Linked DNA regions of Tamandua tetradactyla. The protein of the gene in region 1 purifies or fractionates together with the protein of each later gene. This does not show direct contact. Links are inferred from orthologs where the notes say so. Each region holds a gene or a part of one and is shown on either strand. Other genes may lie near its edges.

The links.
Region 2: the proteins of DACH1 (region 1) and JUN purify together in Homo sapiens (affinity purification with western blotting; 3 studies listed by BioGRID and IntAct, with this or other methods). This does not show direct contact. The link is inferred for Tamandua tetradactyla from reciprocal best matches to the Homo sapiens genes DACH1 and JUN.

Annotation. Positions count from the first base shown.
Region 1 is NC_135330.1:138,971,685-138,979,681, forward strand, and holds the start of DACH1 (dachshund homolog 1), read right to left. Parts: upstream 3,015-7,997; 5' UTR 2,786-3,014; coding exon 1,947-2,785; intron 1-1,946. UniProt on the Homo sapiens protein: Transcription factor that is involved in regulation of organogenesis. Seems to be a regulator of SIX1, SIX6 and probably SIX5.
Region 2 is NC_135328.1:162,050,105-162,057,482, reverse strand, and holds JUN (transcription factor Jun), read right to left. Parts: upstream 3,003-7,378; 5' UTR 2,002-3,002; coding exon 1,000-2,001; 3' UTR 241-999; downstream 1-240. UniProt on the Homo sapiens protein: Transcription factor that recognizes and binds to the AP-1 consensus motif 5'-TGA[GC]TCA-3'.

The sequences.
Region 1 (7,997 bases):
AGAGCACTTCACCAATTTACTGGATAGGTAGAAGATTTTATAACAACCATATCTGAACTGGCCTTAGATTTTAACTAGCGTTCTTTCTAACTATCCTGTAATCGTTTTCCTTCCTGATTCGAGTAGTTTTAATAGTTTTTTTTTTTTTTTTGCAAATATCTTCTGGTTGTCCAAGGACTCCAATTATCTGAGTAAATGATTACTAACAAAGATTGCCTCTCGATCTTTACTGCCACCGCAAACCCACGCGCGCGCGCGCACATACACATACACTCAGCATCCACCCCCAAAATAGTAAAAATGCGAGTTCAAAGCCCAAACACACACCCATACCCTATTTGCAAAGAATAGCAAATAAATCGGGAAACAAAGTTTCTGGATTGTTCCGATGGGACATTTGGTGGGTCGGAGTTGGAGTCTTTCATCTTTACAGCTTTCCTGGGCACTAGGTGGGAATCTCCCTTCAAGGTAAAAAATAGCCCGGGGCTTTTTCACCTGGTTTCCTTCTGGTGTCGTTTTAATCCTCTTTCCTTTCCACCTCTGTTACCCTAGCTTTACTAGGAACACGGACCCTGAAAGAGTAAAACAGTTCACTCTCTGGGTCTTTAATCTGATTTGAAGAGCAAGGGAGTGTCCCCGCAAATTTTGCGCCCAGGTCCCACCCGTTTGCTCCAAGGCTCCAACTTTCCTCCTCACTTTCTCCTGTGAGATCTTAATTTTTTTTTCCTCTGAGATTCCCAGGAGCGAACGATGGGGACAGGAGGAAGTGTAAAAGGGTGGAAAGATCATTTCTACCCCGAAACTGACAAGTTGCCCCACTTCCGCCCCCTCTCGGTAGATCCTCCCCCACAGCGCGTTCATTAGCATAAACTGGTCTCGCCGGAGAATCAATCCTGCGGTCTCTGCCCCGCGCGCGCTCCGCGGGTCGGGAAGCGACCACACGGAGGACTCAGACCCCTGAGAGCCTCCCAGTGCAAAGCTTGCACCTGCTCGATTGCTAGAGCTACTGGCAACCTTTTAAAAAGAAAGAAAGAAAGAATAATAAAATTGGAGAGAGACCGCTGTCCTCTTTCTTCCCCACGTCTTCAGCGCGGCTTGCAAGAGTCTTGAGTACCCCATGGTCATCTCCCCTTAAAGGACACCTGCTGGTGCCCTCGCTTCTGCCCCGGGGCAAACGACACCCTTTATTTCCTTTGCACACGCACAGGCACACCTCACACGCGTACACACGCACAGCACACATGCGCGCACACACAGACCCCTCCCCTCGGCGGGCTTCCCCTCCGGGTTTTGGGGTTGAAGTGGCTGCGGGTGCCCAGGGACTGCCTCGCGCCTCACGGCTTCCGAAGTCGCTCCCCTCACGACCTCGAAGTGCCCTCCCCGGCTCTTGGTCCAATCGCTCGGCTTGTCCGCCAGCCCCTCACTCGGAGCGTGACGCCCTGCCCTTCGAACCCAGCCCAGCCTAGTGACGACCTCCCAGCCCTCCGTACGCCGTTCGGCGCCTCCGACGAAGCCTGCCTGGGCCCGAGGCTCGCCGCGGAAGCCGGGTCGCGGGGAGCTCACACGCGGCGGCAGCGCGGAGAGGGGTCTCCAGACGCCAGCGCGTCCGGAAAGAAGCTGTGGCTCCCGGAAAGGCGCCCTCTCCCCCTTCCCGCCCCCTCCGGCCCAAGGGTCGGGGGTGCGCGCGTCCCACAGCCGCCAAGCCCTGGCCAGCGAAGGGTGGCTCGGGCCCGAAGAGCGAGATCTGGGCAGGGTGAGGTGCCAACTTCTCAGGCGCTCGGGCGCGGCTGGCGAGCCCGGAGGAAGGGGAGGAGAGGGCTGCGCTCACCAGGGCGCGCGGCTCGCGGGCGCGCGGAGCGAGCGGCGCCGATTAGGGAGCCAGGGAAGGGCGAGCAGGCGGGCGGGAAGGGGCCGCGAGCGGCGGAGGCTACCCCCCGGTTCTTTACCTGGCGTTGGTGCAGTCATTGTAGAGGGTCTCGAAGTCCTTCCTGGAGATGAGTTTGCAGCGGTTCACTCCGGGCTGAATGGCGCCCAGTCCCCTCAGGATGCGAACCTGTTCCACATTACACACCACCGGCGTGATCTCCAGCCTCTTCAGCTTGGTGTAGACCGTGTGCAAGCCCCCCACCAAGTGCTTCAGGAACAGGTCGAAAGCCTGGGGCAGGCAGATCAGCTCGCAGCCCTCCACCGTGAAAGAAGCTACTTTGGCCCCCCTCAGATCCACCATTTTGCACTCATTATTCTGGGGGGTGTTTTCCACTGGGGACGGGGTCGAGTACACGGGTTTTCCGGGGAGGGGGCCGCAGCTGCTGCTGCTGCTGCTACTGCTGCTGCTGCTGCTGCTGCTGCTGCTGCTACTGCTGCTACTGCTGCTGCTGCTGTTGCTGCCGGTGTTGGCGTTGATGGGGGTGCTGGAGGCGCCGCCGCCGCCAGCACTAATGCTGCCACCGCCACTGCAGCCGCTGCCGCTCGCCGCCGCCAAGCTGGGGTTGCAGTTGCCGCCGCCGCCGCCGCCGCCGCCTCCGTTGCCGCCGCTGCCGCCGCCGCCTCCGCTGCCGCCGCCGCCGCCGCCGGTGGAGGTGACTGTGGCCGCCGCCGCCGACGCGATGGGCTCCGGCCGGAACAGAGTTGGCCCTGAGGACGCCGGGGGCCCGATGGACGGAGCCGGAGACGAGGTCGCCGACGAGGTGGAGGTGGTGGTGCCGGAGGAGGAAGCAGACGTGGAGATCGGGGGTTGAGGGGGGACCAGCTGGGTCGGAGGGATCAAAGCCGCCGGCACTGCCATGGTCACATATAAGGGGAAACAGGAGGAGAAGCGAGGGGAAAAGTTGCCACAAACCCCGGGGAGGGGAAGGAAAAACAGGGGGAGGGGGTGGGGAGCAGGAGCGAGGGGGCAACAACAACTCTAGGAGAGAACCAGAGGAGAAGGGAGAACGAAGGCTAGAGAAGAGGTGAGAAAGAGCGAGCGCAGGAGGGGCGAGCGCGAGAGGCGCTCTGGAGAGAAACGCACAAAAGTGTCCCGCAAGTCGAAATGCGAGTCCTCTCCGGGGGCTGGGATCGGGGGCTGGTTTGGGGGGGCGGGCGGGGGCGGGGAGGGTCGGCTGTTGTTGTGTGGGTCCCGCTCTAGCACAAAGTTAAGGATGAAGGTGAAAAGGAGGAGGTTTGAAGGACTTGCGTTCTCCCTGGCAAGTACATTGATCAAAGATTGAGAGGTGAATGACAGAGAGAAAATGAGCTGAAAAGTGCAGGCTGCCGGCTGGACGAGTTGTTGTTGTCACACGGTGCAGAGGGGAGGAGCTCCGGAAACTTGAAATACCCTTTGAAGCCGCAAAAACCTCACTCACTAGTATTAACCCAAATTATCCAACCAGGACTCGGAGAAGACTCCGAGAGCGCGAGACAGAGAGAGAGAGAGAGAGAGAGAGAGAGAGTGTGTGTGTGTGTGTGTGTGTGTGTGTGCGTGCGTGCGAGAAAAGGAGGAGGGGGGAGGGGGCAGAAGGGGGAAAAGGAAAGAAACTGTGGGAGGGACGAAGAGAACAAGCCAGGGACTCAGAAGTGGCGCTCGGAAAACAGAGGGAGATCATCTGTCTGCCTCTTCCTTCTCTTCTACTACCGTTAGATTGCATGTCTGTGTTCCGTTTCGTCCGCGACGGCTCGTAGTTTTCTTCTAAAGCTTCTAAGCAATCGCCTCCCAACTTAAAGAGGAGCCAGAAGGCTCCGAGCTCTTCTTAAAGGATTTAGGACATATCTCCTCGCGTTCTTGCACCGTGATATAAATGGAAACACATCCCCTCACTGCATAATCATTAAGAAATTAATTTGAGGAAAAGTAAGCAAAACGTATGTTTTATGCATCTGCTTGTTTATCTGTTACATTATTTTGTATAAAGATAGTGGAAATTCCAGATTGGACAGTTTTAAAGTTGCGGGGGGAAAAAGTCCGAAATTGCTTAAGAATAATGAAACACGCTGTGTTTAATTCTTTATTTCTTTATAGATTGTGGAAAGAAAGAAATGCTTTCCACGATGTGGATCGTTCAGAATAACTTCACTTTGGCTCAAAAGCAGATCAGGAGTGTCTGTTAGGCCATGACAATCCAAACAGATGAGACATCCTTGAAGATTTAAAAAGTAGAAAACAAGAACACGCCGGTTTTTCTTACCCAAAATTCTAAGCTTAATTTACCTGTATTGCACAGTAACCAATAACCCTTATCCTTTAAGACCCAAGGGTAGTTGCCAGTGTGCTGTTTGAATGATACAAGTTTTTTTTTCTCCCCATAATTGAAAAGTATCAATATATTTTGGGAATCCCTTCTTACTATATCGTGAAAATGTGTTTTGTAACTAATGAAAGCAAAAACAATGCTAACTAACTGATTTGTAAAGGCAGAAAGGGAAGCTATATTTAACAAACAGTATTTGGCTGAGTTCAGACTGACTTCTTCCTTTCTTTCCTCTCTCCCTTTCTTTTCTAACCTGTTGCATGTGTTATTTTATTCAAGGATTTCTTACGAAAATATGATTTGAGCATAGGTCAAATCTGTTCCCTGCTTGTATCTCTAGAAATCTTAAATAATTAGGCTTTGAATCTGTCTACACATGTTCAGTAACACAAGATATTAAACAATGCTTTAGCATTTGACAGATATTTAATATACACTATTAGCAGCAGATTCACAGTGCTGGGAGATTTCATAATGAAATTTCTGCCATTTGGTGTTGAAATTATGATCATGTAACTCTATCATTTTAACTCCTTAAACCTTTTGAAGTTTAGTGTCAAAAACTACAGGAAATATCTACAGAAAGATATGACATGACTAATTTGTCTACGTTTTATGCTAAACTTTTTGGGGCATAGCAGTTATATCAGGAGGCTTTTCTGGGATCTAAGATTTCAGAAAATTGGTTGTTGCAGGAAAGTAGAATAGCATCTAGAAGTGTAACTAAAGTTCACACAATTGTTTGGACGAGGTTAGCCAATGTATTTTAATATATTCAGAAATAATATATATTAATTTTTCAGTCCACTTCTCTGTCCTCAATTAAAAAGTATGATTCAATTTATAACATATACCATCGAAACACTTCCTTAAGCATTTATACACATTTTAGAAAATACTATCTTTTTAAAAAATAATCTCAAATTGCCATGTATTGAGCCTTGAAAAATTAATCTTATGTTGGAATCACAAGCACAACTTTATTAAAACTCTGACATAATTCTAAAACGTTAAACTACAGCTTGTTTAAATTCTAGACCCACATTTGGGGAAAAAATGGAAACTAAATGCTGAAAATCTGCCTTACCATTCTTATTTATCATATTTCCTTAAATTATCATTTACCCAATACCTGCCACATTTGTAAACCACAGACAGGAAGTAATGATAACAGACCAGACCATAATCCCACCCTGCTTCGAAGCAAACTCCAAATTTTACACTGCAGGGAAACCTGTGCCTCCCAGCACGTGCTTAGTCAGAAGCTATGGGAGTTTAAAAGACCTTAGGTCTATAAACCATTTCAAGGAACCACCACTTACCCCTTTGATCAAGCAATAGCATTAGAAAAAAAAGCATAATATAAATGAAAGGATTTAAGAAAGAAAAGCCTTGAGAATCTTCAGGGTTTCTTTTTCTTTTTCCTTTGAGAAATGTTACCAATGATTAAGACAAAAAGTATTTAACAACAGCAGATAAATCAACTCAAGAAAGATTTCAAATCTTCACTCTTTTCCATTGCATCTATAGCTTTCAGGGGTTTTGTCTTGTTTGTTTATTATTTTACATCTAGTTGCTTCAGGTCCTCTCCCTCCATCTCACCTTCCCCAGCATTCACTCAATTTGCATAAGCAAAACTCAAAGTACTGTAACGGATATTAGAAAATTCTCCTTGTGTTTTGTGAAGATGCATTGTGCTGAAATCAATAAGACTGTTTAAAATTCAAAGACCTGCAAATCGTTCTGTTTGTCCTTTGATAGGGCCTGTGCTGATTAAAATGCTACCAAGAAAGCTTAATTGCTGCACTAATTAAGAAGTCTTTAATTTCTTTCCTAGGATATCGTTTGAAGCTGAGCTTGTACCAGTTAAGGGAAGGTATTTTCTTCCCTCCCTCCTAGCCCCTCCCCTCCCTTCCCCCAGACGATAACCGAATGATGGAAACTAAGAGAGAGTGGTCTCAGGTCTCACCATCTATTACTTAAAAATCGGCACAGGATAGAGTTCAGTACATTCTGAAATGCAGGTTTGAGAAGAGCTGCAAGGTTGCAGGAGACAGTAAGAAAATACAAAGTAGCTGTTGCAGCTAAAGTCATGGTGAATACCTGGATGACAACAAGCACTTTAGTCCGATGATAAGGGCATCCTAAATGGTTAAAAGGGGAAATGACAAGGAAATGCTTCTGTTGAAATTAGGACAACATAAAAGCATACTTACAAAGCCTAAGGTTAAAAGAAAGAAGAATAGATCCTTAGAAAGATGGGCTTATAGTTGGAATTTGGTAAGTATCATTTTATTTTATTGAGTGTAAAAACATGAATTCTGTGGTGACTTATTGTTGACCCTTTTTATAACCCAAGCAAGTATAGCACTGTATTACATCCATTCTATCCTTATCTATTGACCTATTTTATTCACTGATTTCTCAGGTGGGGAAACTGACTAAATGATTTTGCAAAGCTTGCTCTGTAATCAATAGTCAGTTTTAAGGTTTATTCATGCTGCATTATAATTCTGGTAAATGCCTGCAAAGCAGAAGATTGTAAGAAAGATACAAATATTGACAAAGCCAGGATAAGTCATTTCTTTAAATCTTCAGGGTCTCAATATAGTAATTAATAGTGTTACTTAAAAAGGAAAAAAAAAAAAGATTGAAAACGCAGCTTTCCTAGCATGTAAAAAACTAAAATGATCGAGTAACCTAAAGGCAATATATCCAAACATGTTTCTTGAATATCTCAAATTTTCCCAAAAGCTTTAAGTATCCTTTTCTTACAGCATCATTAACTGAAACAGAAACAGTTTAGACACATGCAGAAAGGGCAACAAGAAAAGATTCATTAGTATTTTATTATTTTAATTCCCCCCCCCAAGTTGTGTTAGAAACATGCACAGAAAAATACAGATGTACATTCCGGATATATACTGAATTATTTTCAGTGACAGGACAAGGAGATAACATGTTTAATAGATTCAATGGGAGATTTACCATTCTGAGCACGACGTCACTCTAATTATGTTTACTCTAATTGAAAGCAAGGTTTTTTGGAATCTGAAATTACTTTCACATTTTTTTTTTTTAAATAATGCAACTGGATCAAATGTTGATCACAAGCATTTCAATCTTTCGAAATGTATTGGAAAATTAAATGAAAAGTGGAGTTTGGTACAAACAATGCCCCAGGGCAAAAAACAACTAACACTAGATTTTCCAGTCCAGCCATAACACAAATCAATTTGAGCACACTTCTATGGCCAGACTGCCAGATTGTTATGACTGCTAATTCACTCAATCAAAGAGTGCATTAGCACACCCGGCACAAATAGCTTTAACAATAGAGTGCACTTCTGAACAATTCTAAGATATATATATCACAATGGAGAAATAAAGAGGAAGATCATTTTTACATCTGCCTATTTACTAGTAGATCTGTTTCCTTAATAGAAAAAAAAAAAAAGACAGAGATAAACTCCAGGCATAGGTTTATTAAAGAGCTATCAAAGTTTGGCAAATCTAGAAAGATATCAAGGTACCAGTAGTTCACTGACTTTGTTAAACGTTTCTCAGGAGAGAGTCCAAAATTGATGTTTGCACTTCAGTAGTAAATCATTGAAGATGGAGAAATTATGCCAAGTAACTCTCTCAAGCCTTTTTAACTCAGATGCACGGCCTCACCAATCAACTTAGCAGATAAACCTCAACTACCTTAAGCAAAGACTTCCTTACCCCTCCTTGCTTAGTGTTCCAACTTCTGGCTTTTGATGGCTCATC
Region 2 (7,378 bases), on another chromosome or scaffold:
ACTTGATACAAACTTTAAAGCAACCTGAAAGACCACACTATCCTTTGGTGAGCAATCCTACATAGATAGTTGGGGGGAGGCAATAATGTAACTTGAGGAGAGCATCAGCTACATTTCTAAAGTCCAGTAGAGAGTAGTTTTTACTGCTTGATAGTAAGAAGCTCTGAGATTTTGACACTCTTAACTCTTTCAACTCCACTCATTATTAATCTACAGATAATGCAGAAAAGAGGTGGAGGATACTTTTTCAATATTTTATTGTATTTTCTTAAATATCCTTTCTGGAATTTTCAGAAACAAAACATAAAAAAATTATATATTTTATTACAAATGGTAAACTCAGAGTGCTCCAAATCTCTTATTTACAAACAACAATGGGTAGGATACCCAAACAAACAAACATGAAATAACTTACAAAGGCATGAAGCTGTTTATTGACAGTAATCAGCTTTCATCAAATTAAAAAATATATATGTACATACACAGTTAATGAAGGCAGGCCAGAAAGAGTTCATCTGTTGGCTCAGCCTCCCTCTCTACAAACCGTCCTCCCGCCTCCCCTCCCCGCCCCACCCCCCTTTGTGTTCTTAAAGAGTACTACAGAAGCAATCTACAGTCTCTATTGAAGTTTGTAATCCCTGTCCCTCCCCCTCCCCCCTTGTAATACTGAATGAGATCGAATGTTAGGTCCATGCAGTTCTTGGTCAATGTTAAAGAAAAGTTTAACGTTCTGTTCGCGCGGGTACAGCCGGTCCGCAAAGCTGGGCAGCCCGCAGGCGGCCGCTCCTTGGCTCCACACCAAGGCAGGGCGCGCCAAGTCCTTCCCACTCGTGCACACTGGGGGCGCCGTCAGGACGCAACCCAGTCCAACTTGGATACCCTTGGCTTTAGTCCTCGGACACTTCTTTTTTCTCTCTCTCGCAACTTGTCAAGTTCTCAAGTCCGTCCCTCCGTGTCATTTTTTTTCTCCGTTTCCCCTCAACCCCCGACAGTCTCTCCTCAAAACGTTTGCAACTGTTGAGTTAGCATGAGTTGGCACCCACTGTTAACGTGGTTCATGACTTTCTGTTTAAGCTGTGCCACCTGTTCCCTGAGCATGTTAGCCGTGGACGCCAGCTCCGAGTTCTGCGCTTTCAAGGTTTTCACTTTTTCCTCCAGCCGGGCGATCCTCTCCAACTTCCTTTTCCGGCACTTGGAGGCAGCGATACGGTTCCTCATGCGCTTCCTCTCCGCCTTGATCCGCTCCTGTGACTCCATGTCAATGGGGGACAGGGGCGGCGTCTCCCCAGGCATCTCGGGGACCGTCTGCGGCTCCTCCTTCAGGGCCTGCAGCCGCGGGTGTTGCACCGGGATCTGCTGGGGCAGGTGGTGTGGCGGCTGAGGCGGTTGTTGCTGCTGGGGCTGCGCGGGGAAGGCCAGGCTGCCGGCGCCGTAGGAGGGCGCCCCGCCGCCGCTGCTCAGCGCGCCGGGGTTGAAGTTGCTGAGGTTGGCGTAGACCGGCGGCTCGCTGTGCAGGCTGGCGCTGAAGCCGCCGCTGCCACTGCCGCCCGCCACGGAAGCCACCGCCGGGGCCACCAGGCCCGCCCCGCTGACCGGCTGTGCCGCGGACGTGACGCTGGGCAGAGTGTTCTGGCTGTGCAGTTCGGCCAGGGCGCGCACGAAGCCCTCGGCGAAGCCCTCCTGCTCGTCGGTCACGTTCTTGGGGCACAGGAACTGGGTGGGGGTCGGTGTGGTGGTGATATGCCCGTTGCTAGACTGGATTATCAGACGCTCCAGTTCGGGAGACGCCAGTTTGAGGAGCCCCACGTCGGGAGAGGTGAGGAGGTCCGAGTTCTTGGCGCGGAGGTGCGGCTTCAGGCTGCCCACAGGATCGGCCAGGTTCAGGGTCATGCTCTGCTTCAGGATCTTGGGGTTACTGTAGCCGTAGGCGCCGCTCTCAGACTGGAGGAACGAGGCGTTGAGGGCATCGTCGTAGAAGGTTGTTTCCATCTTTGCAGTCATAGAACAGTCCGTCGCTTGAAGTGGGGTTAGTCTGGGCTGCGCGCAGAAGTTTTGGGGGCCGCAACAGCGCGCGGACAAACGGGGAACACCCGCGCCTCCCCGGGCCTTGGGCAAGCAAAGTTTCTCTAAGAGTGCGCACACCCGCGGGCTGTCCTCCCCTAGGCGCCCTCCTCACCGGCTCGCTCCAGGGAACTCAGGGTTAAGTGCCGCCTGCACTCTTTCTTACTTGTCTGTTCGCGCGCGCTGCCCGGCTTTGAAAAGTCGCGGTCACTCACTGAGCGCTTGTCTGGCGTAAAGGTTCCTCGGATTCCGCAGACGGACTCGCTTCTCGGGGACACCGGCTCTCCCGGAGGCGCTGGTCAGCTCGGACCCCGCAGTGGCCGGCCGGCGACAGGTCTCGGCCGCCCCGACTCCGACGACTGTCCCCTCCTCCGCTACCAGGGGGAGGGGGGACCGCTCGGCAGCCGCGGCTCGCGCTCGCCCAAGTTCAGCAACGCGTGAGAGCGAAGCTGGGGTGCACGTCCCTCTTCTCTCTCCTCACTCCGCCGCCGCCGCCTTCTTTACCGCCGCCGCGGCAGCTTAAGGCGGAGGAAAGGTTTGCAAAAGTTCTCTCCCGGACCTGCGGTACTTGTTCTCTCTCCCGGTCGGGAAACTTCCTTGCCGCTGCAGCCACTCGCTGGACTTCCCCAGGCAGTCGTCGCTCTCCGCGGCAGTCAGTGCCTGGGCAGCGGGGCTCTCCTCCCGGGGGCGGCTGGAGAAGGGGCTCTCCCGGCGCTCCCCAAACACCAGCCCGGAGCCACAGGCTCTAGCTCTGGGCAGTGAGTAAGGAAATGGAAAAGAAAATAAGACTTGCAGGTCGGGCTCCACTGCCGTTCTGACTGACTGACTGTGTCTATCTGTCTGTCTACCCCAGTCGGCGCACCTCCACTCCCGCCTCGCTGCTTCAGCCACACTCAGTGCAACTCTGAGCCCTTATCCAGCTCGCAGCTCAACACTTATCTGCTACCAGTCAACCCCTAAAAATAGCCCATGATGTCACCCCGAGGCCTTCCCATTGGCTTGCGTCGCTCTCTGGGGGGCGGGCCCGCCTGTCGCTATGGAGACCCCACCCTAGAAGATTCTTCTCTGGGCTCGCGGAGGCTCACGGGATGAGGTAATGCTCCGCTGCCCTCCTACAGTTGGGCCCTTCTTTCTCCTCCTTTCCCCCTCCCCCTCCCGCGCGATCTCGCCTCTCTTCACCCGCCTCTCCCCAACCCGCCCGATGCATTGTGGGCTGACGTCTTGGGGTTTGACTGTCCAGTGACGGTGGCCGCCGCGAGCGGGCGGACGGGAGCTGACGCTCGCACCTTCTGACAGAGGCAGGCTCAAGTTCAGGGCTCGCGACAGGGATGCACGGGATGCGGGGACCCGGAAGGCTGGGGAACCGGACCAGTAGTCTGGGACCGAGGGTGTGTGGGCGGTGGCATTTTCCCACTGCGGGGTCGCGGCTCGAAGTCACCTACGGACATTTCTCTACCTCGCGGGACCAGGAGGCTGGCAGCCCGCGTCTGTGCCCCACCCCCGCACTTCCGGAGGGCGGGAACGCAGCCCTTAAGGTGGTTCTGTAAAGTCTCCCGTGGGGCGAGTGAAAGTGCGCTTCAGTTTAGGGGCGGTGTGTTGGGAGTCAACACCCTCCATTGAGAACGCTCCGAAGTTTGTCTTGGTCGAGTTCAGGAGCGACAGTTCTCGCCGCCGTCTGGCTGTGCCTAGACCCGAATGATTTGCATTGCTTGAAACTGGGCGCCCCGCCAAGTCTCCGCTGCACCCCATTTCATCCTCTACCCCCTAAGTCTCCTAAGGGAGAGCGTGCGGGGGGTTATAGCTTTGCCTCAGAGGGGAGGTTTTTATATGAGGTAGGGTTGGGGCAAACTCAGCGTCCAGTTGGGAACGAGCGTTTGTTTAGGAAATCCGAAACTCGGGGAACCCGGGTGATCGTCTGTCCACGATACATTCACCACTCCGGCTCGGATTTGCTTCCGGGAAACCAAGTCTCAAGAGTGGCAGAGACTTAGCAATAGTCACGCAACGCCTTAGGGGTAGAACTAGTATTCAGAATCTCTGCTCCCTGCCGGGTGGTGGGCCCAAGTTCTGTGCAGCCTCTAGGAAGCGCTAGACACATGTAAGTGGCTCTTTTTTCTGTAATTTGATTTCTCCCCACCCCCATCTCTCCCCCACCGCCCCCCCCCCCCTTTATGGGCAGAAGTGAGTGGTGTAAAGAATACCGAAATCCGGAATCGTGGGTTCTCTCGTGGCTCAGGGCTGCTATATTGTGAAATGAAGCAAAGCACTGAACTCGGTACTTCAGGTCCCTCAACTGCGAGTGGGACCCATCTACCTCATTCGGCTACCCGGAGTCAACGTAGCATCATAGCTTCCAGGCCTAGGGAGTTGGTCCCTCCATAGCCCCCTTCCTGGAAGTTTCCCCGAGCCTTTTAGGAAGTGGATGAAATGCCAGGTTAGGAGAGTTTGATTTGGCAGTACAAGTCCACTTTCTTGTGAGGAGCAGTAATGGGAGGTGGTGAGTGAAGGGGTGAGGGAGGAAAGGTTTACAAATCAGTTCTTTATCAGGTCTTCTGTCTGAGACTGGGGCTTGAAATTGAAGCAGTTTAAGTTCCTAGGGTCTAATTCTGGTTTTTCTCCTCTGAGATTGGGGGAATTCTGTCTTGAGTTCATAATCTCCAGCCTTAAGGTATTTGTGGCTTTGAGACTTCAGAATCAACAGTAAAACAGCAGCTGGTGTGGTGTCAGTGGGAAATCTGCCAATTTTTCTTCACTCTGGGCGCTCACTTCTCATTCACTCATGCCGCAGAGGATAACAGTGGCTACTGTGAGTCAGGCCCACTGAGGCTGGGGTACAGTGAGGAGGAGTGTGTAGGTATACAGGGGTGACAAGATCCAGTTCCTTCCTTGAAGGAGGCTCATTCTTTGTTTTGTTGTCCATAATCATTTTTTTGTTGTAATCAGAAAACTTGTGTTCTTAGTAATTTTTACAATAACAATAAGAATAATTTTCATATTTTAAACACTTACCATTTTTCGGGCAATTTAAATGTGCTGTTTTCTCCCTACAACCATCTTGATATATGTGTATACTGATATAATATATATAATATGTATAATTATTATTATCTGTATTTGACATATAAGGAAGTAAATTCAGAGAGTTTAAGTATCTTGCTAAGTCATACAGGGAGCTGGAAATTAATATTCCCTGTTATCTTCTTGGCTCTGGCAAACTTTCTTGTGAAATATTAGTTGTCTGCAGAGAAAATGGAGTTTGTAGGATAGGAGAAATTGTCTCGCCTGATCCTCTGATTTGTAACTCCTTTCAGAGACTCCGTTCAGCTCCCTTATTTAGAAATTCCAAAACTTAGGAATTTGGGTATATACCTTTTTTCCTGAAGATTCTGTATGTTCCTCCCTGCCTTATGTGGTTTAGTAGGCTGATTTTCTCCTTCTGTTGAGAAATAGTGTATTTTATCCAAAAAATAACAAATCTGTTCATGTTAACGCCCCTGCTTGGAAATCTTCATTGCCTTCTTATAGGAGAGTTCTGACTCCTTTGCCTGGCAGAAGGGGCCCTTCATAATTTATTCTCCTGCTCTCTCCAGTCTCATCTTTCACTCCCAGCATCAGTCAGGAAAGCTATAACAAGCAACCTTAACATCTCAGTGGGTTAACACAATGGGAGTTTATTTCCTGCTCATGTTCCATGTCCGACGTGGGTTTTCAGGGGATTCTGCCCCTATAATCACTTAAGGAGTCACTTAAGGAAGGAGCTTCATCTCGATACATGCTTCTTACAACTACCTTGGCTAGGGGGAGAAAATGAGGCATATCAGTCAGTGGCTCTCAGAGCATTCACCTGGAAGGGACACATATCATTGGCCAAAGCAAGTTACATGAGCATGCCTAACTTTAAATCTGTGTAATCCTGCCAGGTGTATTGAAGGGAGAGAGCCAGGAATATTTGGGGAATGTTAATGTTCTGTAAGTCTCCCTTTCTGTTCACAAAATGTTTGGCTTACTCTCCTTCCACAGGAAAAACTCCCTCACTCTTCCTCAAGGGAGATAACCAGAACCATCCATTTTCAGCATTAAGCTCACTGTCCAGGATTTCTGGTGCTGGTAGTAGAGTTTACATCAGATTCACATGTAACTCCTCTTCATCTAAGGGCAAGATACTTATCCTCCACACCTCAAAATGTAATCGTGGGACAGAGACAGTACAGCTGCAGCCAACACTCCCATTTGGAAAGGGAAGAATTCAGAGACCACAGCAGATATTGGTCCACTGTGCAGACATTTGGAGGACTTCTCTATCCAGTACCCTAATTAGACTCTGGTATCACTCCATGAGTATATCTGCCCTGTCTGTTGTTTTCTGTGACCCCTGGCTTTGCCCTTTGAGAGAGTCTTGCTTTCTATGTAGGCATTGGAAAATAGGCTTTTAAATAAAATTGTAATATTTGGGGGATATTGAATCCCCAAACTTGAATCCAGTCTCACATTCTTTTCGCAGTACAACTCTCAGAAATGTATTATGTTTCTTACCTTTTTGATTCCAGGTATTCCATGTGCTAATAGCTCAGCCACTATTTTTTTCTAAACATGTTTCTAAGTTCTGTGGTTTGTCACATTTTTTTCAGTTTTCTTGCTCTCATTTCTCCCACCCTGAACTTGATTTTGAATGCTTTGGGCTTATTGGGCTTCAATGGGAGAGTCATACCTTTTCTCCCTTTTCCTGAGCCATTTTGTCCAATTGAAAATATGTGCTGTGTAGCATCTTAACACATCTTATCCAGAGGTGTTAACAATAAATTTGAAGGCCCTCCCCTTGATCAATTCTTATATCCAGGCCTTCTTTAATTGGCCCTTACTTTCTAGCTTTTCTGTTTTTTTGGTATGCTGTGTGGCAGTGGTCACATTTCATTCTTTTTCCATGTGAGTATCCTGTTATTGCAGCACCATTTGTTGAATTTTTTTTGTTTGATTTTTTGAAATTATTATTTTTATTTTTATAATAACTTTCTAAAAGTGCCCAACAGCAACCAACAGATGCTACTAACATTCTGGTTTACAGCTTCTTGCTTTTGTTGGGTAGGTTCTTGATCTGCCATCTTAGTTATCACAGTGATACGTTTGTCAATTGGATCGTCATCCTTTCATCCTCTGATAACAATGTTCTTAATTATTGCCCTGTAAATGAATCTTTAGTTTTGTTGTTGTGTATACTGTTGTTTTTGCATTTCCCTATGTCTAGGTGCCTGTTTTTATCAGTTAAAATAGGCTAGATTATACTGCCATAATGAACTCTTAAAAAAACTCAGTGGCTTAA